Linked DNA regions of Arabidopsis thaliana. The protein of the gene in region 2 interacts with the protein of the main gene of each other region in a biochemical or structural test. Each region holds a gene or a part of one and is shown on either strand. Other genes may lie near its edges. The genes, in order: ALY4 and EIF4A-III.

Evidence for each region.
Region 1: the proteins of EIF4A-III (region 2) and ALY4 form a complex in vitro, tested with the Arabidopsis thaliana proteins (one study listed by BioGRID).

What each region holds. Positions count from the first base shown.
Region 1 is NC_003076.8:14,977,076-14,990,156, forward strand, and holds ALY4 (ALWAYS EARLY 4), read right to left. Parts: upstream 7,578-13,081; 5' UTR 7,401-7,577; intron 6,954-7,400; 5' UTR 6,904-6,953; coding exon 6,718-6,903; intron 5,908-6,717; coding exon 5,764-5,907; intron 5,683-5,763; coding exon 5,614-5,682; intron 5,505-5,613; coding exon 5,305-5,504; intron 5,204-5,304; coding exon 5,120-5,203; intron 4,914-5,119; coding exon 4,730-4,913; 3' UTR 4,544-4,729; downstream 1-4,543. Other genes in the region: AT5G37715 (uncharacterized protein), read right to left, coding at 1,948-2,028, 2,347-2,370; AT5G37710 (alpha/beta-Hydrolases superfamily protein), read left to right, coding at 2,084-2,785, 3,304-3,362, 3,448-3,576, 3,650-3,785, 4,032-4,325; AT5G37730 (uncharacterized protein), read right to left, coding at 9,066-9,379, 9,575-9,809. UniProt on the Arabidopsis thaliana protein: Export adapter involved in nuclear export of spliced and unspliced mRNA. Plays a role in disease resistance. Mediates multiple defense responses triggered by NEP1, including stomatal closure, hypersensitive cell death (HCD) and defense-related gene expression.
Region 2 is NC_003074.8:6,858,047-6,870,826, reverse strand, and holds EIF4A-III (eukaryotic initiation factor 4A-III), read right to left. Parts: upstream 7,167-12,780; 5' UTR 7,038-7,166; coding exon 6,730-7,037; intron 6,418-6,729; coding exon 6,096-6,417; intron 5,841-6,095; coding exon 5,733-5,840; intron 5,629-5,732; coding exon 5,509-5,628; intron 5,190-5,508; coding exon 5,022-5,189; intron 4,884-5,021; coding exon 4,797-4,883; intron 4,699-4,796; coding exon 4,585-4,698; 3' UTR 4,181-4,584; downstream 1-4,180. Other genes in the region: AT3G19780 (uncharacterized protein), read right to left, coding at 1-301, 433-589; VPS9A (Vacuolar sorting protein 9 (VPS9) domain-containing protein), read right to left, coding at 1,713-2,684, 2,809-2,988, 3,079-3,249, 3,331-3,478, 3,820-3,911; AT3G19740 (P-loop containing nucleoside triphosphate hydrolases superfamily protein), read left to right, coding at 7,897-8,450, 8,540-8,664, 8,784-8,878, 8,972-9,196, 9,544-9,628, 9,881-9,932, 10,400-10,551, 10,676-10,746 and 6 more.

The DNA.
Region 1 (13,081 bases), on a different chromosome or scaffold from region 2:
GGTTTATATTGTTTGATTAACTCGTTATTTATTTACAACTTGCTGTAAGAAACCTAGATTCTTTAAAATAAAGATAAAACCTAACGATAGAGTGATTAGACTAATTCCCAAAAGGAAAAAACAAAGTAGCTAGGTAGTCCCTTGATTGGAATCTTGCCTTGTGACTTGTGAGACTACCACTAGCAACAAAAACAGACCTGATCAATTGTAGTCGAGCCTAATTAAAAAAGGTTCAACTGAGCTCTAAAATATGCAAGTGGGGGTGAACGAGAAATTTTCATAAATTGAATCTTTCCTAAACGGCTTACTCGACTCAATGGTCAGCAACAAATAAAGAAACGTGACACAACACAAAGAGGAAATAGGGTTAGGGGAGAAATCATGGCAACGCCTCTAGTCGAACTGACCATACACAACCATTGTTTTTATTCCAAATTTTCAAAATTGCACTATTCTCACGGTTCTTATTGCGAGATCGACTATCTGGTTGGGTAAGACATGACATTTACGTATCTACTAAGTATTACAATATGCCTCTTACCATATTAAAGAAGAATCCAATAAAGAGTGGCATGCATTAAGAATGTAAACGAAGAGGAAAACATTCATTACAAGGGAGATTTTCGAGAATGAAATGTGGGCTCGCTTCAGACTCACAAATTGTGAAGATTATACAAACTTGAAGTATAAAGGAGTAGTACCAACAAGAGTTTCAAAGGATTACCAAATAAGGGAGTACAAAAATAAGGAAATACCAACTAGAGTTTCAAGTCCTCTAGAATAAATTTGGGGATGGAAGCAAAATGCATTGGTCGTCACAACTGTAGTATGGACCCATGGGCTACTGCACCTCTCTCCACCCTATTTGGGCCAGGCCTAGTTCTTATCCCTTCCAAATATTTTGATATCTTAATCACTAATATCTATATGAAACTTTCTTTGTATAAACATTTCTTGGAACGAGAAGAATCCATTTTAACCGGTTCCTAGTTTACCAATTTTACATTACTAGAACTGAATTTTCATTATTCATAACCAACAATGCAATTTGTCTACACATATCAATTTGTCAATTTTACTAATATCAGTTTATAGTAATAATTATAGACAAATCAACAAAACATATTTACACACCTTAAGAGTTTTTATAACTCATTCAGACAAAAACAATTAATTAAAATACCCTTAAAAATAGTTAAAAATATTTTCACTTTTTAAAAAATCAATGGGAGGGGATCAAAGATTTTCACAATTTACAAGATTTGTGTAAACTAATACTCTTCATTTTTATTTGATTTTTGTAGGAAAAAAAATGTTTTTTAAACATTAATTTTTTAGGTTTTATATGCAGTATTATTGATGTATTTTAAACTTCAATAAAAATAATTGAATATTCTTTATGATCAGATTTAATATATATTTTAAATATTTTTTTTTTAGAAAATTAATTAAAAATAACAAAAGGAGTAAATAAATAAAACGGAATAAAGTTGGGCGTTTTTTTATTACAAAACATGGGAAAATGGACAAGTTCTTCAATTCTTGCTTTTTGGGCTTCTTGCCTGTCTCTGTCTCGAAACACCCAGAAAGAGAGATAATCTCGCTTATCTGTCTTTATACTTAGCTGGTTTCTTCTTCTTCTTTATCCCTTTTGGCTCTTATTACAACTTTTTTTTTTCCATGTATTTCCTCAAATTTTAATATTTTTTCTTTACTGTATATTCATCAAATCTCAAGTTCTCTAATTTCCCATTCGACCTCGAAATTTGACCAATTTCTCTTGTCTCAAATTTCAGATTCTCTTCCTCTGAAAAAAATCAAAAACCAAGTCTTCTAATTCCATCTCCTCTCTGTACCCATCTCCTAAAAATCTCAACTTTGAGTCAAAATTTTGTCTTCTCTCAAACCAATTCATAGTTCTAAAAATCTCACCTTTATCTCAAATTTTTAATCTTTCATCTGATTTCTGAAACCCAAATTCTCTAATCTCATCTTTGAGCCAAAAAGTTTCAATCTTTCCTCTGATTTCTGAAACCAAAAATCTCTAATTTCAAAAAAAAAAAATCTCACCTTTGGGTCAAAAATGTCAGTAGCTTGTGGACTAGAATGTGTCTTCTGTGTAGGATTCAGTAGATGGGCATGGAAACGATGCACACACGTAGGCTCAGACGATAGCGCCACGTGGACATCAGCAACACCGGAAGAATTCGAACCAATCCCAAGAATCAGCCGAGTAATCCTCGCCGTCTACGAACCCGATCTCAGAAACCCTAAAATCTCACCTTCGTTAGGAACTTTCGATCTAAACCCTGAATGGGTCATCAAACGTGTGACACACGAAAAAACCCAAGGAAGATCTCCACCGTACATTATCTACATAGATCACGACCACCGTGAGATTGTTTTAGCGATTCGTGGCTTGAACTTAGCTAAAGAGAGTGATTACAAGATTCTGTTAGATAACAAATTAGGTCAGAAAATGCTTGGTGGTGGTTATGTGCATCGTGGGTTGTTGAAATCTGCGGCTTGGGTTTTGAATCAAGAATCTGAGACTCTTTGGAGAGTTTGGGAAGAGAATGGTAGAGAGTATGATTTGGTTTTTGCTGGTCATTCTTTGGGTTCTGGTGTTGCGGCGTTGATGGCGGTTTTGGTTGTTAATACTCCGGCGATGATTGGTGATATTCCGAGGAATAAGGTTCGATGTTTTGCTTTGGCTCCGGCGAGATGTATGTCGCTTAATCTCGCCGTTAAGTATGCTGACGTCATCTCCTCCGTCATTTTGCAGGTAAAAAAATTTAACCATGTTTTAATGATCTCAATGTTAGTTAAAAGATTTTTACAAAAATTGATTTTTTAACAAAGAATAATATATTAGAAATGTTAAATCACTTGTATTTAAGTTAAGGGTGTTATGGTTTAGTTGTTTTTGGGGTTAGAGATTGATTTCTGACAACTAATTTTTTTGGTTATGTAAAGAGTTGAATATATTTATAGTTTTGATATAAAATTTGGATTATATTTGTAACTGTCTTGTTGGATGGTGGTGGTTGGTTCATTGTTGACCAAGCATTGTCATAATCCTGTTTCGTAAGTTCAGAATATGCTTTTGCTTTATACAATGAATCGACGAATTGAATTTTTCATTTTGCTTCTTGAGTTTGGTCAGAATATTCTGCTAAATTTTGTACTAGTTTTGGAGGTTGTTTAGTTGTTAAGAAAGGTATCTGTCTATAGAGAGAATTTTTATAGAGTAAGGTATTTTACTAAGAATTTTAACAAAACTTAGTGTTTGTGGAATAATAGGATGATTTTTTACCGAGAACAGCGACACCATTAGAGGATATATTCAAGTCTGTATTCTGGTAAGTGTCGAACTTCGAAAATGCTCTTGTTGGAATGAATTTGTTATAGGTATAGTTCAACATTTTGTATTCGTTGTTCGGACAGCTTGCCGTGCTTGTTGTTTCTAGTTTGTCTGAGGGATACATTTATACCGGAAGGTCGGAAACTAAGAGATCCTAGAAGGCTTTATGCTCCTGGTCGAATTTATCATATCGTTGAGCGGAAATTTTGCAGGTAATAATGAAGTTAGTGTGGCATTTCTTAGCAATTTTTGTTTGTTTTTCCTCTGATTATTTTTTGTATTTAGATGTGGAAGGTTTCCTCCCGAAGTGAGAACCGCGATTCCCGTTGATGGTAGATTTGAGCATATAGTATTATCATCGAATGCAACATCGGATCATGCGATTCTATGGATAGAAAGAGAAGCAGAAAAGGCATTGCAGGTGACATTTAATTTCTGCATTTTTATGTTTTAGATCAATGGTTAGGGCTAAGGATTTAGGATTTAGTTTATAAGGCTTAAGTAAGGTTACAGGATTTAAGATTTAGATTTTCGACGATTTTGTTAAGAGTATAAAATCTTTAATTGTGTTGTTGCTACAAATTTTTTTACTATCTTTGCACAAAATAGTAAGGGACTAGTTAGGCTTCTTTTTATAAATGGTGGGTTTTGTGGTGTGTGGTTACAGATATTGAGAGAGAAGAGTTCAGAGACAGTGGTAACAATGGCACCAAAAGAGAAGAGAATGGAGAGGTTAAGTACTTTAGAGAAAGAGCACAAAGATGCGTTGGAGAGAGCCGTGAGTCTTAATATCCCACACGCAGTGTCCACCGCGGAAGAAGAAGAAGAATGCAACAATGGAGAAGCATCCGCGGAGTTGAAAACAAAGAAGAAGAATTGGGATGAAGTTGTGGACAAGCTTTTCCATCGAAGCAATTCAGGAGAATTCGTTCTCAACGATAACGTTGTTCCTGAAAGGTAGATAGGCTTGCGTCAGGTTGATGGTTGTGATTCAATGGTGTGTGTTTTTTTTTTCTTTAACTCAGTTTTGTAAATTTTCTAGGCTTTATGGATGTGTGAGAATGTCTATAATCCGGTTAAATTGGTCTGAGAAATTTTTGTTCACAATCAGACTCACTTTTTTCATTACAATGTAAAACCTAATTCTCTCTAGACTTCTGAATTTGATGAGTAAAACCGATCTTAAAACAGTTCACTTGGTAACTTTAAATCACTCTTTATATAAAAGAAAATTTAAGACAGCTAGATTCTAAAAGGCTTCCATTTACTTTACAATCAACATCCAACAAAACCAACGAAGAGCATGAAAAAAAGAGAAGCATGATTTCATCTGAAACTAGTTTAGTAAGAACAACACAACACGATTTAAGAGGTGTTCATGGCATCAGCGTGATAGCTCTCAAGATCTTTGTCAAGATCAGCAGCTGACTTCTCCACTGGCTTCTTTCCATTTCCTCTTCCACCACCACGACCACGGCCACCATTACCACGCCCTCTAGCACGAAACCCGCCTCTTCCTCCTCTCATCCCTCCTCCCTGCTGGTTATGACTGCCACCAAGAGAAAACAAGTGCAAATTAAAACATTAACCGAAACAAACGAAAATCAATTAACTACGAATTTTGATTTATTCGGTTTGGTTACACAAAAATAGGAACAAAACTTTTGTGACCATGCAGTTTAATATGGAATGCAGTTGACAAATCTCAGTTCGGTTCTCCGCTAAACGAATTAAGAGAAACAGATTTATACTTACATTGGAAGGCGGCGACTGACAGTAGGAGCTGGACCTCTTCCTCCTCTCCCACCTCTAACTCTTCCTCTCCCTCCTCCTCCTTGTCTACAAGCATCAGAGAAGATTGTGTAAGTCTTGGATTTAGTCTCACAACAGTTATTCATGCGATTACTGAGAAAACAAAAAGAAAAGACAGAAATTCATACTGGATAACAACCGTCCTCTTCAGCCTTCCATTGAGTCCAGTGACATTCACATTCACACGACCAGATAAAGGAGCCTCGGAAGAATTGTTGCCACCCAAAATCTCAAGTCTCATTGGCCTTCCATCCAATAGCACATTGTTATATTTCTTCAGAGCTTGAAATGCATCACTTCTTCTTGGATACACCACTTCAGCTGTGCCCTATAGTTACATGGCACAAAACAAAATCCCTGTTAGAAAGAGCATACAAGATAAAACTTTTTCAAAATCATGAAGAGAATGGGACTGATAAAGATTTGTGAGGACTTACACTTGGACGCCCATTTTTGTCATAATGAATCGCATAACGCTCTACCTCCCCAATCTCAGAGAAGAGTTCCTAGATCCCATGAAGATACATTTTAGTGTCTGGCTCCCCTCTAAGAAACCAAATGCACAAATTATAGAAGTCTGATTATACCCTTATATCTTCATTTGTCACACCCTGGTCCAGATTTGTAACATGGAGCCTGGTTCCAACTTCAACTCCTGATGCCCCGGCAGCTCTTAGGCCATCTTCAAACAAACCGCTTTGCCATGGCAAGCTCCTGACCCTACGGACAGGCTATTCAATAGAACAGAATCATTTCAGTACAAGATGTCTGTCGAACTTCAAAAACAGCGTCAATGAAAAACAATTCCAAAGAAGTGACCACCCATATGCCTGGAAGAGGGAAACCCAGTCAAAGCAAAGAGCTCCACCGAGTAGTCAAGAACCACCCAATGAGAAAACCAAATGAAATGGAGGAACAATGAGTTTGACCGACTATGCTCCGGTTCCAAAACAAATTCTTTGTACCAAGGCTATGATGATAAAAGAAAAACCGACGCTCATAGCATGCTGAAGAAATTCCAAATGCAGCAGGACGTTCATCAATAACTTCATGCATGATACAGTTAAGACTGTGTAGGGGTTAGGAGGGTAAGTCACTATATTTACTACAACACCACACATCTTTTGAGGATTTGAAACTGTGTGACGGAAATGCACAACATGTCTAATTGTACTGGAAGAACAAATTTTGATCTTCATCTTACTGAAGCTCCTCAGGTTCTAAGTACTGTCGCAAAAGCAACCAATAACTTGTCTGCCAAAGTCCTCACAATTAACAACATAAACCACAAAGTACACTGAAACTGCAGGGGTAAGAGGCATTCCTAAATGAAAACATCTCCATGAACTAGAAAGAAGCATGTTCCTAGGCGATGTTCTCAATGCTAAAGAATGTCAAACTATCATCAGAAGTAAGGCTTTCCGCATGGACAGGAAAACCTGCTTCTCCCATCGTTTAGATATAGTATGATGAAGTAAATGCTTCACAGAAACTCAGATTTCCAAATCATACACATAGAAGATCCCAGATTTTGAGCTTGCCTTGTTAATGGTGAAAGATGATGGACGAGCATTCACAGCAAGAGGACCTCTTCTAGCAGGTCCAGCTCCTCTTCCACCACCACCACGTCCACGACCACGCCCACGAGAAATCCCTCTTCCCCCAGACCTTGCAGTTTTACCCCTCTTAACAATCTCATCAAGAGTCATATTCAATGCTCCAGACATCTTAACTTCAATAGTCTTATGAAACACAGTAACAAGACTCAATCTGAAACCTGCATAAATTAGAGAAGGAGTGTTTAGTTACCACCAAAAACATGAACAAGAAAAACATATCATAATCATAAAACTGGCTTATCTTCTAACTCAAACAAGCACTAGCTTAATGACCCAAACAATAAATTTCAATCAAAATTGCAATTTTAGAGCTACCCAGTGTAGAAAAACACAAAGGCTCATGAGAAACAAATCAATCCAATCAGATTGAGAGCTAATCAGATAAACCCTAGATCACTTACGAGGGAAATCTATAGTTCTCAAATCAAACATAACATCGATTGAAACCCTAGATCTATATCCTATATTAACCTAGTCATAGTTATTGAAACGAAAACTAATAATTGCGTGCAAGCAGATGAGAATAGAACGAAATTAATCAAGTAAGATGGTTCAAGAGCACGAATGGTTCGCAAGAAGATAGAAGAAGAAGAAGAAGAAATTACCAGAAGAAGAGATGAGAATCCGAACGAGAGAGAGATTGAAGAAGATGGAGAGACTGTGTTTAGGGTTTTGAGGAGCTTTGATGAGTTTTGTGTTCGTTGATTTTTTAGATCAGACAGAATTTAGCAGAGAAGGGATGGAGGAAGAAAATATGGGGTTTAAGTCTAGGGTAAGGACAATTTCGTAATTATAGAACACTTAGAAGGTTATTTTCGTCTCTATCGAAATTTCGAAATTCAAATAGAATTTGATTGCCAATTTACGATGTACTAGAGACCATTGTTTTGAAATGAATATTTTGCAAACGACTTTACTAGTATACACTAGAATTTAACCCGCGGGCAATCGCGGGCAATCGGTAGATTTGGTTTTTATACTAAATATTTGAATAAATTTGATATTTTAAATTTATAAATATAAATATCTAGTGATTAGTGAAGAATCGTAATATATGATTTGGATATTATCGATTATTGATTTTGTGATTGAGTATAGTGTTTTAGGGATGGAATGTGATCATATTTTGATTTCAAAAACGACATAAATTCTTTATTTTGTTAAACGGTTTAGATTGAAGGGAATTAATTTTATTGAACGGTTTAGATTGAATCGGATCATATAAAGTTTAGGAGATTGTTAATACCAAATTACTCTTAATGATTTTGAATAGCAAAGAACAAAATCCAAAATTGAAATCAAAATTGAAGCCAAATTTAGACAAAATTTCAATTTGTACTTCCCTTTTAATAATGTAGGGATAAATTCGAAGATATGGTCCATAGATCAACTTTTCTTGCAAAAACTTAGAATGTCTCTAGTACATGGTAAATTGGCAGTCAAATTCTATTTGAATTTCATAATTAGTATAGAGACGAAAATATATAGAGATCTTTAGAATATAATCATGAAAACTACATTCTAAAGATCTTTTTAAAAAATATTTGTGATTTTCTCCTAATTTTTATGTTAAATTTTAAAATAAAATAATTCTAGTTAAAAATGACATTTAAAATTTTTAGACGCCATAAAATAAAAAATTTTAAAAAATAAATTTTATCCAAAATTATAAAATTAATATCATATAATCTAAAAAATTAATAGTTAATTAAGATGGTAAGGATAAAATTAGAATTTTATTTTTGTGGTGAGATCGTGAGTATTAAATTGTACAGTTTTATAACTTCGTGTAATTTTCTTCCAACTAAAAACAATTGAGTATTAAACGTCCAAATAAAAATTAGTTAGAGTTTTTTTCAAGATTTTTCCCATTCAAAATTATGAAATTCAAATAGAATTTGATTGCCATTTTACCATGTACAACTTAGAGACATTTGTTTTGAATTGAATATTTTGCAAACGACTTTACTAGTATTCATATATTCGAAGATACCGTCCATTAGTTGTTCTTAATCTTAGTCAAGTAAGTTCATGGATCAAGTTTTCTTGCAAAATGTCTCTAGTACATGGTAAATTGGCGGTCAAATTCTGTTTAGATTTAGATTTAGATTTCAGAACTAGTATAAACCAAAATGTATAGAGATCTTTAGAATGTAGTTTTTCAAATATTTTGTATAATCCCATCATTGTCCACAATTGAATTGTAAAGTATATCTCGAAAGGCTGTCGACCAATGCATTTTGCTTCCATCCCAAATTTATTCTAGAAGACTAGAACCTTTGAAACTCTCGTTGGTATTCCTTTATTTTGGTAATCCTTTGAAACTCTTGTTGGTACTCCTCTATACAATAAGCGTTCCCATCACCGAATGATCTATAGTCCATTTGACTTGTAGAGTTAGGTTTGTGATTGTAAGGAATATATCCTAATAAAAACCGAAGAAGATGAGTAGTTTTCCATCCATGGCCTATCCGAGCTCTACTCTCTCTTATACCTTCGACTTTCTCCAGTGGCCGTGGCTCTTTCTTGCACATCAAGAAATTTGTTACATCCATTGAACCTATCTTCTCTTGTGGATGCAAAGCTAACACCAAAAATGTAAACAGTCAAATCAAATTACGCTCAATGAGTACTTTATACAATATTTTGTACACACAAGGTTAAGGATGCAAATTGTTTTGGTGATTTTCTGTTTTAGCCATGTAAATCTTGAACCGATCTCAAGACTAATCTAGAATTCACGGACTCCGAGAGAACAAGCAAGAGTGGAGTAGAATACTGTTGAATCCGGCATTAATGGAGTAGAAAATGAAGTTGTCGACATCAAACCCTAGAACCGGGATCCTGCCTTGACGAGCATAGGCTTTCAAAGTTGTGTTAATAGCACTTGAAACTTCATCGTCTTCGTTGGCCAAAAACCTTATAGGACCAACACTTCCAAGAACATTCACACTCACCAATAACTTTTTATTCTTCCTTTTCATCACTCCTTTTACATTCTCATTTCTATTCATCCTTTTTCTTTGTATAGACCATTAAAGAAGAATGAAACTTACTTGCTTACTGCTTCCGTTTTATAGATGCATAAATTAAAGGAAGAGAAGACAACATGAAAGGTAAGTGTTAGGAGTTCCATCCATTGAGACTATATGAGAATAACCCTATAATATATATGCTTACATGCATATATAAGTCTCGACACAATAGGTTAGAGAGATTTTCTATCAAGGCTACGAATTTTAGTTTTGTGGGGTTATTGATAATCATAGATATGTTAAGAACCACTAAAGCGGGTCTAAATTTGTTAATAAATTAATGGTTATTGGTCACTAGTAAGTTTAGTGTACGATAGAAAATTTGGAGGATCTAATGCTATTAGAGCTTGTTGGCTCAAATGAAGAAGCTAAGCATATCACCTATGGTGGAGAGATGTGTGGAATCTCTTCTGAAACTATTCCACCACTAAAACCTTTTTATATTATTTACAACTAATGTGCATAAATCATAATGGAGACTTTAGTGAACGAATAGGTCAACATATTTATTCTCCCATGCAAAAGATCAATAATAGCAACTAGAATTTAGAAAATAGTAAAACATATATAAGCTATGTTTCACTAACATATATAAACGTGGATTAATTAAAAGTATATAGCCAAACTATGGGTGGAAATAATGCAAATCACTATGGATACAGTACTCATTGAAATTTTGAACAAGAGTGGTGAAAAAGGATGTAATGTCATTTTTAGGGTCAAACTACTTGAAAAAGATGGATATTATATTGTATATTTCCTTACCTTTGAGGATAGGCTTCCTTATTTATATGCAAAGATCATGGATAGTAACCAAGTGTTGTTTGATCCAGTGGTGATGCATGGTCCCTCCAAAAGATTGATGCTTTACTCTCTATTTTTCTTTGGACTTTTTCCAATGGTCTTGGCTCTTTCATGCACAACAAGGAATTCGTTACATCCATTGATCCTATCTTCTCTTGTGTGTATTCAATTCTAACACCAAAAAAATGATAAACAAATATCAAATTACTTTCGATTTAGAATTTTATACCAAAATTTGTACACACAACGTTAAACAACTAATGCGATTTTTTATAAGCGGGTCAAGATTAATCTAGAATTTAGGTGATTCTAAGAGAACAAACTAAATAGTGGTGGATGGAAAATACTACTGAATCCGGCGTTAATGGAATAGAAATTGAGGTTATCCACTTCGAACCCTAGAACCGGGATCCTCCCTTGACGAGCATAGGCTTTCAAGGTTGTGTTAATAACACTTGAAACTTCATCGTCTTCATTGGCCAAAAACCTTATAGGGCCAACACTTCCAAGAACATTCACACTCACCAACAATTTTTTATTCTCCCCTTTCATCACTCTTTATATATCTTCATATATATATATATATATATTAGTCTTCTATGCATACATCAGTAAAGAAGCATGGATTTCATATACTTATTGCTTTCGTTTTATAAGAGCACAAAGGAAGAGATATAGAGATAGAAAGAGACCATGAAAGGTAATTGTTAGGAGTTTCCATCCATATTGAAACTCTATTGAGAAGAATCTATAATATCCTTAATTACATTCATATTATAAGTCCCGAAACATCAAGAGCACAAATTATTTATCGATGGGGTTATTCATAGATATGTGAAAAACCACTTTTTGTTATAAAAATGATGGTTATTGATCAATGATCACTAATTTGTTTATTGCATATTTGTACGTACGTTTAAGTTTTTTTCTTTATGAATCTAATGCTATTGGCTTGTTGGCTCAAATGTGGATGCATCAACTATGGTGAGAAAGAGAGATGAGTGGAATCTTTTCTGAAAGTTTTCCACCATAAAAACATTGTTTTATATATATTTCTACAACTAAGGTCATTGAGACTTTAGTGAAAAATTGGTCAGCATATTTATTCTCCCATGCAAATATCAATAATGGCAACTACACTTTAATTAGATAATGGTGATCCATAAGCTACAAGGTTTCACTATTATATATAAATATGGAGTAATTAGGTGTATAGCCAAATCATGAGTGGAAATTACGCAAATCACTATGGTTCCTTAGCCTCATTTTCTCTTTAGAAAATGGCTATAATATAATATACTCCTCACAAGGAGGATTTAGTCGGGAATTTCAATGCATCATTAGGTGAAGTACAACTAAAAGTGAGGTGAGACATATGACACAGGAAATGTAGTACGAACCTAATACAGAAAATTATTTATTTGGAAAACGGTAAGCCGGTAATACGAGACAAGTTAGTTCGGTGTACATATCAAATTAATTGAGGTGCACGATATCTATAATTAATGCAGGATAGTTACAGCGAGTTTACATCTATTTTATTATACTACTAAATTTTGAATATTTTGTTCAAAAAGGTGCGAAATAAAAATAATTATGCCAAGTTGATAAAATTATGATTGCTATGTTCTGAATGATGAAATAAGCATTATGAGAAATTGGTAGAACGTGTTACTTTACAATATTACATGTGTTTTGCTATAGAGACTATAGTAACATGGTCTTTTTTAAAATGTCAATAAATTCAACCTGAACCACCGAATATGGAAGGCTCGCCGGACGAGAAGAGAAAAAAATATTGTCGGATACTGCCGGAGCCCAACTTGTAAGGTTGAATTTACTGGAAACAAAAACGTTGTAGGGTCGAGGAAAGCTAAGAGAGTGACGACTATAGGTAGGTATCTATTGTTTGTAGTTTTAGACTTTTATTAGGATTTTACAGATGACTACACTTCAAAATTATGAATTTAAATTTCGATGGTTTACACAAAAAGTTATTTATCTGATCCGAGAAAAAAAAACAGAACAAAATCCTTTTTTCCAGTAAATCTAAAAAGATGACTACTATTTTCAGTATTTTAGTGAAAGAAATTTATATCACTTTTTTTTTTTATAAACGATATTGACTGATCTGATCAACTCTGATAAAAATGTATTAAAATGATTCAGTCTCCCCAAAAAATCAACATAATCCGTGTCTCAAGTTTTCAAATGTGTTACGAGTAATATCTTGGATCATCAAATCGCCTATTACTAATTACCAAATGAATTGTTTGCGTATTTGGTCGAAACTCATACTTTTCATACAAATATGTTTTTTTTTTGTTTCTTAGGTGGATTGAACATGTATTAGTTCCTTTCAACATTTCTTCAATTCTCAACCACTAGTAGACCACAAATGTGTAGGCACTTTTTAAACTTAAAATTGATCTATTTTTGTTGAGCCT
Region 2 (12,780 bases):
AGGAAATCTTTCAAACTCTTTGGAGACTTCAAATGTTTGAGAGGGAGTTCTTCAGGCGTAGATGTCAGATAAGGATGAATAGATGACAATATATTCGAGGCTCGGAGTTTCCCTAGATAGTTGTAAGGCACACTATTGTGATAGTACAAAATTGTTATCCCATTGACAGCAGCACCAATGGCTTGTGCTAACACCTTTTCTGAGTTTCTGTATACAACCATTAACTTCAACAAGCCAAACTCTTCTCTTCTCTGAACCATCTGAGTAATTTCATACTTAAGAGATCTGGACTCACCACACCCTATGAAATCAGTAATGAAACCAATCAGAAAACAAATAAAATAGTGATACATATCTCCATAAAGGTAAACCTCAGCAAGTGAGAAATTCAGCTTAACAAGCAAACTGATCTGAGGAGGAGAGTGAGAGTACATGGAGTGGTGACAAAGAGGAGGACGTGAGGGTGGAGACGGATCTGAGAAGAGAAGTTTTGCTCCGTGAGGATTTCCCATTCGCCATGGCAGCTTGAGGGAAGAATTATGGATACGAAGACCAAGAATGGAAGGAGGAGGAGCGTCGGCGTTTTCATCGGAAAACAGCTCGCTCTCACTCGTCGCGTCGCGTCTTCTTCCTTGTTTCGACGTCGCGATCCCGATTCTCTCCTGGTTGGTTCGGTTTAACGGATTTAAATTGTCGAAGGGTCAGCATTTTACCGGTTCGGTGGACGATGGTTTGGTTGCTTCCCTTATCACGTGTATAATAAAAAGTTGATAGAAGTTCAGAAAATTACTCCAAAATTATTGAAATTATCTGGTGGTGAGAAGACAAACATTTCCGACACTAATCAATTCGAGTATCCATGGAATTAATAACGATATGGTTCATCATCAATCCCGGTTCAGATTCTTGACCAACGAGTTTGACTGTTGGTTGGTCTTACGAGATTCCTCAGAATTCGTTGTTACTAGATTCACTCCAACTTAGCTAGATTCACAGAGTCTCTAGAGTCACAAGCAGCGACGTTACAAACTCTATCTGAATATAACCGTTCGTTGAAGGAGATGGTCAAGCTCACAAAGCCTTGTCTTGTGTTTTACTGTTATCTCAGGTTTTTCAGACACTGACGTTTGATCTGATCTTGTCTGACGCTCTCTCACAGCTTCCAACAACGTTAATCCATGGCAAATAAATAAAGGAAGCCTCAAACATTACAAATCATCTTTTTCTTATTCAATACTCTGTTGAGATTTTACCCATTCTTTTTGTCATGGAATATGTGGTTTGACTTCAGATTCCATTACTCAGCTAATTCACTCAATCATTTGCAAGACTACTTCCTTCTCATATCTAACAGCTTGGCAAATATTATTCTGATTATATCCTTATTGTATATACGCAATAGCAGATGTAAGAGTTACATATGGATTGACAAATGTTGACGAGCCCCTCCAAAATCATATCACTGAGAAACAAAGAGCAAAAAAAGAAACACAATTGAAGAAAGTAATTTACCATTTGACTGCCCCTCTTTTCCAAGGGAATACAGATGCAGATAGCTTCCGTCTCATACGGCTCTCCAGTCATCTTCAAAACTCATAACTCCAAGAAACGAATAGATGACATCTTAACTATGACTTGACCTTTGCTTCCCCCATTAAATGAATAATTGATCCGATACAAGAGACTCTCATCACCAAGATGGGTCATTTGGCTCACTCAGAAGCTTCCGTAACTGGCTGTTTGGAACCAACATCTTCATCTTCTGCAGGTCGGGAACTAGAATTGTCACCTTCTCTCTTAGGAATTTGCTTCATCAATTCAATATCTTTGGCATCTACTTCTCCTTGCACCTTGGAATCACGTTCTTCATCCTTTCCCTCTACCAACATTGCGCCATATTCTTCATGTTTTACATCTGACAGATTGTTAACATCTTCCCCTTCACCATGTAGAGCTCGGATCAAATCATCAACACTCCTGTCAGTTTCCTTTGTCATTTGTACATCTGAAGACGATCTTCTATGATCCTCAGATTCCTTAGACGTATTAAAACCGGACGACGCTTGCAAGGGTGAACTGGATGGAGCTAAAGATGTTCCATCACCCAATCCTTTGGTAAGGCACACATATTTGAAAACGAGCTGTTTATAACTATTTAACAAGCCTTCAACATCTCCTATCCTCAAATCACCAGCACTGGCAAATATGTAAGGATATTCTTGAAAGACTTTGCTTGGCTCGGTATCCTTCAGAAGCGTCGCACCCTTATTTTCCAAATCTGAAATGGATTCAGCTTTCTTCATTGGTGTTTCACTGTTTATATTCAGTAATTCGTTGGTCCCAGAAAGACTATCAGACGATTTTGATTGGAAAAGAGTGTTTTCCCTCTTGGGATTCAGACTTTGAGTTTTCTGAAGAGTGGACTCATCACGAGGGGGTGGTGCAGAGCCATGACCAGTTTGATAAGTCTGGCTGTCCAAACCAGAAATTCGTGCCCGTGCAGATTCCATGTTCTTTTCAAACTCAGCTTCATCCAGTGAAATAGATTTTGCATCAATATTTGAGATGAAAGACTCTGCAGAGAGTATGTTTGTGAAGAAGTACGCAGCTTCACCAACAAGTTTAGATTCACGCCTATACCTTTGTATATACAACAAGTTTGAGTGAAGTTGTGGAGGGTTAGCCTGCAAAAAGAAAGAACAGAATTAGCACTAGTAGATGTTCTTGCACATTCGAAACATAATCATGTACAACAAAAATACGACTTCAGATACCAGTATGCATAAGTTGTTCAATCGTTCCCAATACCTTTATTGTTACATATATCAAAACAGGAAGAAATTCGTCTGCTCCAGGTGCATTCTCGTTTGAAGCAATTGAAGCATTTAGCAGTAAGTTATTAATCACTTTGCAACAGTTAAGGATACACACAAGCTTATCACGAGGAGCTTTGTACATGTTTATCTTCTGGAGCTCTTTTTGAGCTAGCTGCCAAAAGGAGAGAAAGGATCACAAGTAAGAACACTAACAAAAAGAGGAAACACTACCGGGAGCTAGCTTTTGACTAGATCGGCTTACCAGCCATGACGATTCATTTTGAAAAGTTGGTTGTATATCCAAATTCTCGGGAGAAATGAATTGTTGAACCAATGACATCTTCTGAAATAGCTTCTCATCAGCTATAACCTCCTCAGTGTTTGAAGCAAACACCCGAGTAAATAGCTTTGTCATAACATACTTCTCCAGGCCCTGTGTATACAAACGAGCAATGATTATGGTACAAAGATGAAAACAATTCACAGACAGAAAAAGAAGAATACTGATACTCACATCTCCAGCACTATCCAATTCCTCCTCAGAACAACCAGACCAAAGTGGATGAGCCCTGAAAGCAGCCTCCATCTTAGAAAAGAACTCCTGAACCATAGCACAATCTTTTTCCGGGTCTGGTGCATTGTTCGAGAATGAAACAATGAAACTGCAACATCAACCAAAAAACATCCTTAACCACGCATTATCCACAATACTTCTATGCTCAATAAACAAACCATTCCAGTATGAAATCAATAATTTCTAATTGTTATACCCTATTAACAAGATCCAATTGTCTTCCCCAGTAACAGCAATTGAAGAAGCATAAATAAATGATTAGAAATCTCAAATCAGTACGAATTTTGCTCAAATAGTATCATCATCAACTGAAAATGGACTTAAAAACGTAAACCGCTAAGAAGCACATCCACTTAAGCTAAGAGGAAGATCGTACATAGAAACACACACATATATCCGGATCTGCATCAAAAGAGGGAGAAATGGGACCTTTTAATGGATTTGACGAAATCGCCGGCGGAGGGTTTGCGCATCCGCTCCAGGAAATCATGCAGCCCCAAGAAGACGTCCGTATTCTCCATCGCCGATCACCCGATTATCTCCGACGATTGACCAGTGAGAAGAGTAAAGTTAATGAGTTCCGTGTCGCTGACTACCAATAAACAAACAAAACCACGGTCGTTTATTTATTAAGTTCCGGTTATTGGTCCTGGTGTTGTTAAGTTAGTGAATCTAATTCGGTCCTAACCCGGTTTTGGGTTTCGTTCATCAATTTCACCCAACCCATCAACCAACGAGCGAGGACACCTGACTCCGTCAAATGAAACACACGATACGAAAAACCTCGACGTCATGTCCAGTAATTTCATCAACTTGCTTTGCTTTTGCAAATGATTGATTTTTGCAATGATCCAAGCTTTACGAAATAAGATAACAATGAACCGTTTCAACTGTCGAGCAAAAGTCTTACAAGTAGTGATAGTTGAGAGTTTTGACCCACAAACCACAATCAAAGCCCCCAGAATCAATTACGAGGAAACGAAAAACCAAACGGTCCAAACCCTAAACCTAAATCGCTTCTCAAGTCATTAAACATTTACCACACGCGAGTTTAAGTTTGTTCAAAAGAGCCCACAGAAACATCAAAGGAAATACACCGTTAAGATAGTGCAATAATTTGACAGAAGCGCTCAACAATACTTTTTCATCCAGACACTTCCCCGCTGAAAGCACAAAAATCTCAGACAAGCTCTTTTAGATAAGATCAGCTACATTCATTGGCATCTCATCAATCTGGGTACTGTAGTACTGCTCAATGTCTCTGAGAATCTTGATGTCGTCGCTTTTAACAAAGTTGATTGCAACACCCTAGAAAGATAACCGCAAAATTGGTTAAAAGATATCCATCTAGTATCTCCAGGCTAAGAAATTAAGCTCAGAAGCAGAGATTAGAAAAAGTTTCTTACCTTACGCCCGAATCGACCAGACCGCCCAATACGATGGATGTAGAGCTCACGGTTGTTGGGGAGATCATAATTGATAACAAGAGAAACCTGTTAAATAAAGATTGTCATGTCAATTCACCTTTACCATAAGAGAATGGAACATAATCTGAGACCTCAATAACAGAGATTGAATTTATTCCGCGCATTGTTATCTAGACAAAATATAGCGGATAAGTAATGACTTACTTGTTGCACATCAATCCCACGTGCCCATACATCTGTTGTTATCAAAACACGACTATCACCTGACCGAAACTCATTCATGATGGCGTCTCTCTCCTTCTGAGGCATGTCTCCATGCATTGATGAGACAGTGAAGTTGTGACTTCTCATTTTCTCACTAAGATAATCCACCTATAACAAATGCGGAGTTAGAGTTGAGTAAAATATAGAAAAGGAACCATAATTCAAGAACCCTAATTACAAGAAACATTGAAAAAGGTTTTAAAAGCCAATGCAATCTAATAGATATCTGCAGGTGAGTACAGGTTGCAAGTACTCTAGCGCAGTGGACTTATATTGTTAATTTCTTTTAGAAATAAAGAAATACATATATTCACAAGATAGTATGAATTTTTGAGCAATTACAAGATTGCAAATCAAGTTCAGATAGCAGTGCTAGAAGCTTAATGTTAACAAGTTTGAGATACAGTTGCATGAGAACCACAATTACCTTTCGTTTAGTATTGCAGAAGATAACAGCTTGAGTGATAGTAAGCGTGTCATAAAGATCACAGAGTGTATCAAATTTCCACTCTTCCTTCTCAACAGCAACAAAAAATTGTTTGATTCCCTGAAAAGATTGTACACAAAAAGATAGCCAATGAAGAATATGAGTGTCAACCTACTGTAAAAGTAAACATGAACGAGCATACAGAAGCATAAGAAGAAACATACTTCAAGAGTCAACTCATCACGCTTCACAAGTATCTTCACTGGTTCTGTCATAAACTTGGATGTCATCTCCAAAATCTCGTGAGGAAGAGTTGCAGAAACCAAGCAAACCTACAAAAAAAACGTATTAGGATTGAACTATTATAGAGTGGAATTTAGCTGTTCATAATACAGATAATAGCTACCAAATCTACACATAAGACATTCAAGCAACTTAACAGTGGCTAAAAGGTTTTTAACAACTTATAATTCTCTCAATCCACATAGAGTTCAAGAAGCCAATCCATAAAATAAGAAAGCTAATGCAATAACATCCAAAGAAACTAGAAGTTAGCCAACACATAATATTGAGCAGTGAAATTGCACCTGAAGATCTGGTGGAAGATATCTGTAAACATCATAGATCTGGTCCTTGAACCCTCTGCTCAGCATTTCATCTGATTCATCAAGAATCAGAAGTTTAATAGCTCTGGTACGAAGACTTCTCCTCTTTATCATGTCACAGACACGACCAGGTGTCCCAGACACAACATGAACACCATGCTCCAGCTTCCTGATGTCTTCTCCAACACTATTCCCACCGATGCAAGCATGTGCCTGAATATTGGCATGTAATCCAATAGCTTGTATCGTCTTCTCTGTTTGTGTAGCCAGCTCTCTTGTTGGGGATAATATCAAGGCCTGAACCCTGCAGTCCGAGATACCAAATACATGAGTACACATATAAAAAGATCTTGCAGCCTAAAAGAAAGTATTACTCAATCACTCTAACCGAAAAGCTAATAACTATCACAAATTTTCATTGTCATTTTGATTGAACATTAATGAATCATAATTCGTTCATCTATTCTACAAGTCAGACAAACAAATCCCACCAAATTTGTGAAATCGATAAGAAACAAAACCTAATGATTTAGGTTAGAGAACAATCCGAGCAAAGCAAGTAAAGTTCAAAATTGAAATGAAGGGTTTAATCCAGCTAAAGGAACAGAAAACATACTCTCTAGAAGAAGTATCAACGACTTGACAAACGGAGAGAGCAATCATAGATGTCTTCCCGGTACCGGACTGAGCTTGAGCAATAACATCACGTCCTTGAAGAATCGGCATAACAGCCCTCTGCTGAATCGCGGAAGGCTTCTCGAATCCATATTCGTAGACACCGCGAAGCACATCTTCCTTAATGCCCATATCATTGAAGCTCGTGATGGGCTCAATTCCATCGGTAGTCTCGAAGACCAACTTATCGTCATCCATAGCTCCACCGCCTCTTCTACCACCTCCACGGCCAGGATTCGCTGTCGCCATAAATCTCCGTCTAGATTTTTGTTTTTATCTCTCCTAGGGTTTTCGATTGATTTCCCCCAAATGCTTATTTCCTCTCTACAGGTATAGGTTCGAGATAAGCGCGGCTTAAAAATAGGGGTACGATTGTAAATCCGACAACTTGTTAGGGCTTTTTTGTCAGGAAAATACCGACTCTTATATGTTTAGTGGGCCTTTATAGTTAGGCCCATATCCATAGGAAGGCAAGTAGCAATTTTGCGTCAAAACGACAACACTGCATCAACGAAGCTGAACTTCGAACCCAGCTTCAGCTTCAGAAGAAGAACCTACAGACTTTAGATCGGTCTTTATCTCTCTCTCCTCTGTCGGGATTTTCTCTCTCTTCTTCACCCTATCTCGTTCCTAATTACATCTCCTCTTTGCACCAAGCCTGATTCTTAGAGCTTGGGGGATGAATAGAACCAGTTTTGTTGTCCATCTCTGTTAAACGGTTCGTGTTTTGTAATAGTTATGGATGACAAAAGCTGAATATATCATCATTTCTATATCGATGCCTCATATTCGTTGTTACATTGGATTTTCCGTTATGCGTCATAATCGTTCATTTTAATTGATGTCTGTTCTTAATCAATTAATTCCCTGAAGTGTGTTGTTATTCCTCTAGTCGAAATAAATTGTATAGAATCTATGTTTCTTTCCGAGTTACTATAGTATGTTTTGCGTTGATATTGATCTCGTTTTTTTTTTTTTTTAATGGTGCAATTACATGTTGCAATGCATTTAGGTTGGATAGTACAAGAAATGGACCCTGAAAGTGATTCTAAATCAATGATCTCTGTTTTTTTTTTTGTAGTTATATTGGAAGAGAAGGGACTTTGTGATGTATACAAGGGCATTAAAGAGGAACCAGAGATGGGGTTTGGTATTGCAGCAAGCCAAGTACTTAGTTAGGCCAGTCGTTCGTGACTATACGGTTTCCAGATATTGTGGATTCACAAATAAATTAACCAATAGTGAAAATTTGACAAGAAAGTCTCTACTTGGTTCATTTTCTCCCCGCGGTGGTACTATTGCCTCGGGAAATCATTTAAGTATTTTGAAGAATAGCCAGTTGCGTAGTTTTAGTTCTGAGGGTGATGGAAGGAATGCTAGTGAGGATAAACATATCTCTTTGAACAAAGAGAATGGTGTAGATGATGGAAAAACCGGGAAGGAGAAAAGTAATAACGGTGTTGGGCATTTGGATTCTCATGCTCAACTTGGAGAACAAGACCAAATAGAATGGCTCAATAATGAGAAGCTTGCTAGTGAATGCAAAAAGAAGGAGTCACCTTTCGTTAATAGACGAGAAAGATTCAAAAACGAGTTCTTACGGAGAATCCAACCTTGGGAAAAAATACAGCTTTCTTGGGAGACCTTCCCTTACTACATCCAGTAATAATCTACAACATGTTTTTTTTTCTCGCTTGTTGTGTTTCTTTCTCCATTTCTGCTTATGGATTCTGCTCATTATCTTTTCACAGCGACCACACGAAAGATATTTTGGTGGAATGTGTTACCTCACATATAAGACAAAAGAATGCCGCTTCCATATATGGTGCCCGTTTAGATTCTTCAAGTGGAAGAATATTGCTCCAGAGTGTTCCAGGTTTGTTATTGACTATAGAATAAAAATGGCAGACCAGGATTTGATGTTGCTCTTCTGTTATCAAGTAAAAATATTGAGGAAATGTTAGATGACCAATAAGAAATTTGAATTTTATTCAGGTACTGAGCTTTACCGGGAGAGGTTGGTACGAGCACTTGCTCGAGATGTACAAGTTCCCCTGTTGGTTCTTGACAGCAGCGTTCTTGCCCCATATGTGAGATTCTTATGAGTAATTTGCCTATAACATGCCACCATTTTTCTTTCGTTCTTTTTGGTGTTTATGTAATATTTTTTAATTCTGGATCAGGATTTTGCTGATGACTACAATGAAGAATCTGAATCTGATGGTGAGAACGCAGAAGCGGAAGCAGATGAATCCACGACAGAGTCTGATGCTGAGGAAGATTCTAGTGCTCAGAGCGAAGAGGATTCTGAAGCGAAAGCAGATGGGAGTGACAGTGAGGAAGCTTGTCTCGAGGTTTCTGAGGAAGCTATCAAGAAAATTGTGCCAAAACTTGAAGAGTTCGAAAAGGTATGATTGCATTAATTGAGATTCAGAAATTTTAGTCTGTACTGATTGTTCTTTTCCTAATTTAGTTGGTAATACCATGGTATTTCTTTTTCTTTTTGCGATACCCCGTGGACAATGTGATCTTGGGACCCTGTCATATAAGTTTTCTGATTCTTGATTTATCTTATTTGTATGAACTTGTTATTAGAGTTACTATGCATGAATTAGAAGGTTTCACCATTCCTGCCGTTTGAATGCTGTTTCTTGGTTCTACATGCGACTCTTTGCATTGTTCCTTTTTTGAACTTCCAATTAAATTGAGTTTCAGAAATTGCTGAAATTTGCTTACCTCCTCTAAATTGTGGCAGCTAGTAGCAGAAGAACTACATGGTGAAGCTTGCGAAGCAGCAGCTGTTGAGCATTCTGATAAAGCCAGGCGACCGGCAAAGAAAGGTAATCATCAATATCAAGGCTCTGGAAGGCATCTTCATCATTACAAGTGCTAGGTACACTTGAATGTATCAGTTTGCTAAATAAGTTTGATTTAGTAATTTTGTATTCTATCTAGTCATAATTTTCCTGGTATTGTCTTTCTATCTTAGCCTTTCACTCTTTCCTCTTCTACTTGTCAGACTGCTAAGTTCTCTTTGTGTGGTCAATTTTTTCACTTTTCCTCATTTCTATTTGTGTTTACGCTTTTTGCAGGAGATCGTGTAAAATATGTTGGACCTTCTAAGAAGGCTGATGCAAAGCACAGGTAGTTTACTGATTCACTTGTGTGATAATTATTCTCTAACCTTGCTGAAGAATATTACGCTCTAATATCTTTTATGACTCTGTCTCATATTATTTGACTTGATCTCTGCTTGCTCTGCCTATTCATATTAGTAGTAATTTGAGTAGTTCTGGTATAGGATTGGATGTGTATGAAACTGCTGCCACAATTGTTATCTATAGGACTTATTCATTTATTTGTGAACAGTGCAACTCGCATTACCTTTGCTTAACTAAATGACTTGTTTTTGCGTGCTTACCATTATCATCACTATCCATGGTTTTCTCAGCAATTTGACATGCCTGCAAATGTAACATTTGATCTTTTAGGAACACATTTTGAACTCATTGCTCTGGAAGTTATAAACTTCCATGGCATGCTAAATATTATGGATGAAGGATTGTAAATGCCCTAGGGTTTGTCTTTAACCAAAATTTCTATACCTACAGGCCATTATCTAGTGGACAACGTGGAGAGGTCTATGAGGTGAATGGGAATCGTGTTGCAGTCATATTTGACATTGGAGGTGATACATCATCAGAGGGAGGTGACAAGAAATCAACAGAACACTCTCATAAGCTACATATGCACTGGATAGATGGTATATTTAATTCATGGCGTTCTGTATGGTTGATGTGTGATTGCTCTATATTTGGAGAAATACCCTGTTTGTAGACGATTGACATCTTATGTAAATGCAGCTAACTTACATATTGTCTGCGCAGTTGGAGACCTAAAGCATGATTTGGATATGCAGGCAGAAGATGGCTATATCGCCTTGGAGGCTTTAAGTGAGGTATGTGTGGAAGTTACATTATGTTTTCGTGTTTCCATTCAGCTAACGTTGTACATTGGCCTTATATATAAGTTCAGATCTGATCATTTATCCAGCAGTAGTAAGTGCTCATGATATTTAGTTTGATTTGAAACTTAACATATATGGATTGTTCAGCGTATGCTGCGTTCTTGGGCTGGAAATTTATGATATCATTTCCCTAAGATTTGAAGTCTAGAGTAGCTTGACTTTGAATGCGGTTAGCTTACACTTTCTCCAAGGAACATACAACATGAAATGGCGTTAATTTATTCTTTCTTTTTTTTGTTCTTGTAGGTTTTACACTCCACACAACCACTTATTGTCTATTTTCCCGACTCGTCCCAGTGGTTGTCTCGAGCTGTACCTAAGTCAAAACAAAATGAGTTTGTAGACAAAGTTCAGGAAATGTTTGATAAATTGTCAAGTCCTGTTGTAATGATCTGTGGACGAAACAAGATTGAAACAGGCTCAAAAGAGAGAGAGAAATTTGTAAGCCTTTCTCACGTGTCATTGTTCATTGGCTCTTCTTTTTGTTTGCTTTCATTTTTTGACCTTTTTTGTTTGTGAACAGACGATGATACTCCCAAACTTTGGCCGTCTTGCGAAACTGGTATGATAGCTAAACTTAAAAGTAACGTTAATTGATAGTCTTAGTACTTATCTATTGTGGTAATTTTTTAAAACTTTTGGTCTCGTATGCACACCAACTCAATTTATTCAACATCTTGAACATGCATATAGTCCTGACTTTGTATCAGTCGCATTTTGATACTTTTGGTAAAACTAGCTTCATATGTGCAAGACTCTGAATGTGGATTTGCATACTTTGCTTCACTTTCTTGACATTATAGTACATCCATTTATTGGTCTGCATTTGATAAATTCCAGCCACTACACTCCAAAATATTTATCATAGATGCTGTTGTGTCTTACAGCCCCTTCCGTTGAAGCGTCTCACTGAGGGACTCACGGGAAGGAAAACATCAGAGGATAATGAGATATACAAGCTCTTCACTAATGTTATGAACCTAGTCCCTCCTAAGGTATGCCTATTGACTTTAATAACTTCCGTTCATGGTTTTGGATAACCGATGAGAATTGCATTGATGTGTTTTTTCATATTTATGTGACATTGCATATAGACTTAGACTGGTTTCGAATCTAATAATGTCTATTGAGAAAATATTTCTGCTAATTCCTCTTACGTTACCGACATTAGGAGAAAGTAGGAAAGCTATTTGAAAACTTCTGACTTTGAAATATGAGAAAATATATGCAAACTTCCTTCAGAGTCTCCTTTTGGAAAATGTTAAATTCATCTGCAATCAATATCTGGGATGCAAATGCCTACATAGCTCATGCTGCTATCGTCTTCTTGAAAATTATTTGTTCAGCACTTCTTGCTTATCAATGTTGTACCTGTATTCTTCTTTTCTAATTTTGTGCAGGAAGAAGAGAACCTCATAGTATTCAACAAACAACTTGGAGAAGATAGAAGAATTGTGATGTCACGGAGCAATTTAAATGAGCTACTTAAGGTACATAGACATAGACTGAATTCCGTTAGAGAAATGGAGTCAATTTGCGATGTTATCATAACCATTGTAACACTTTGAGAACTTTTAACCCAGGCGCTTGAGGAAAACGAGTTATTGTGCACTGACTTGTACCAAGTGAACACCGATGGCGTGATATTGACAAAGCAAAGTGTGTAACTCCTATGAAATACCTGGTTTATTATGTATGTTATTACTCGTTATGTCTTAGCATTGTTAAGTATGTTAAAGTTGCTGATTGAGGATATCAAGCATGCCTTAACTGTATGTTATGTATCTCATTTGTTGCTAGTATTACATGAAATAGGATGCAGTTCCATGTGATTGACCTTGATATCGGTCATCTCCTATATGATTAATCATTTAATTTTAGTTCTTGCTTTCTGTGATGAAACCCCAATTACTTATATTGTGACCAAGAGAGCTCAGAAACTTGTTTATTTTGTTTCTGCAGGAG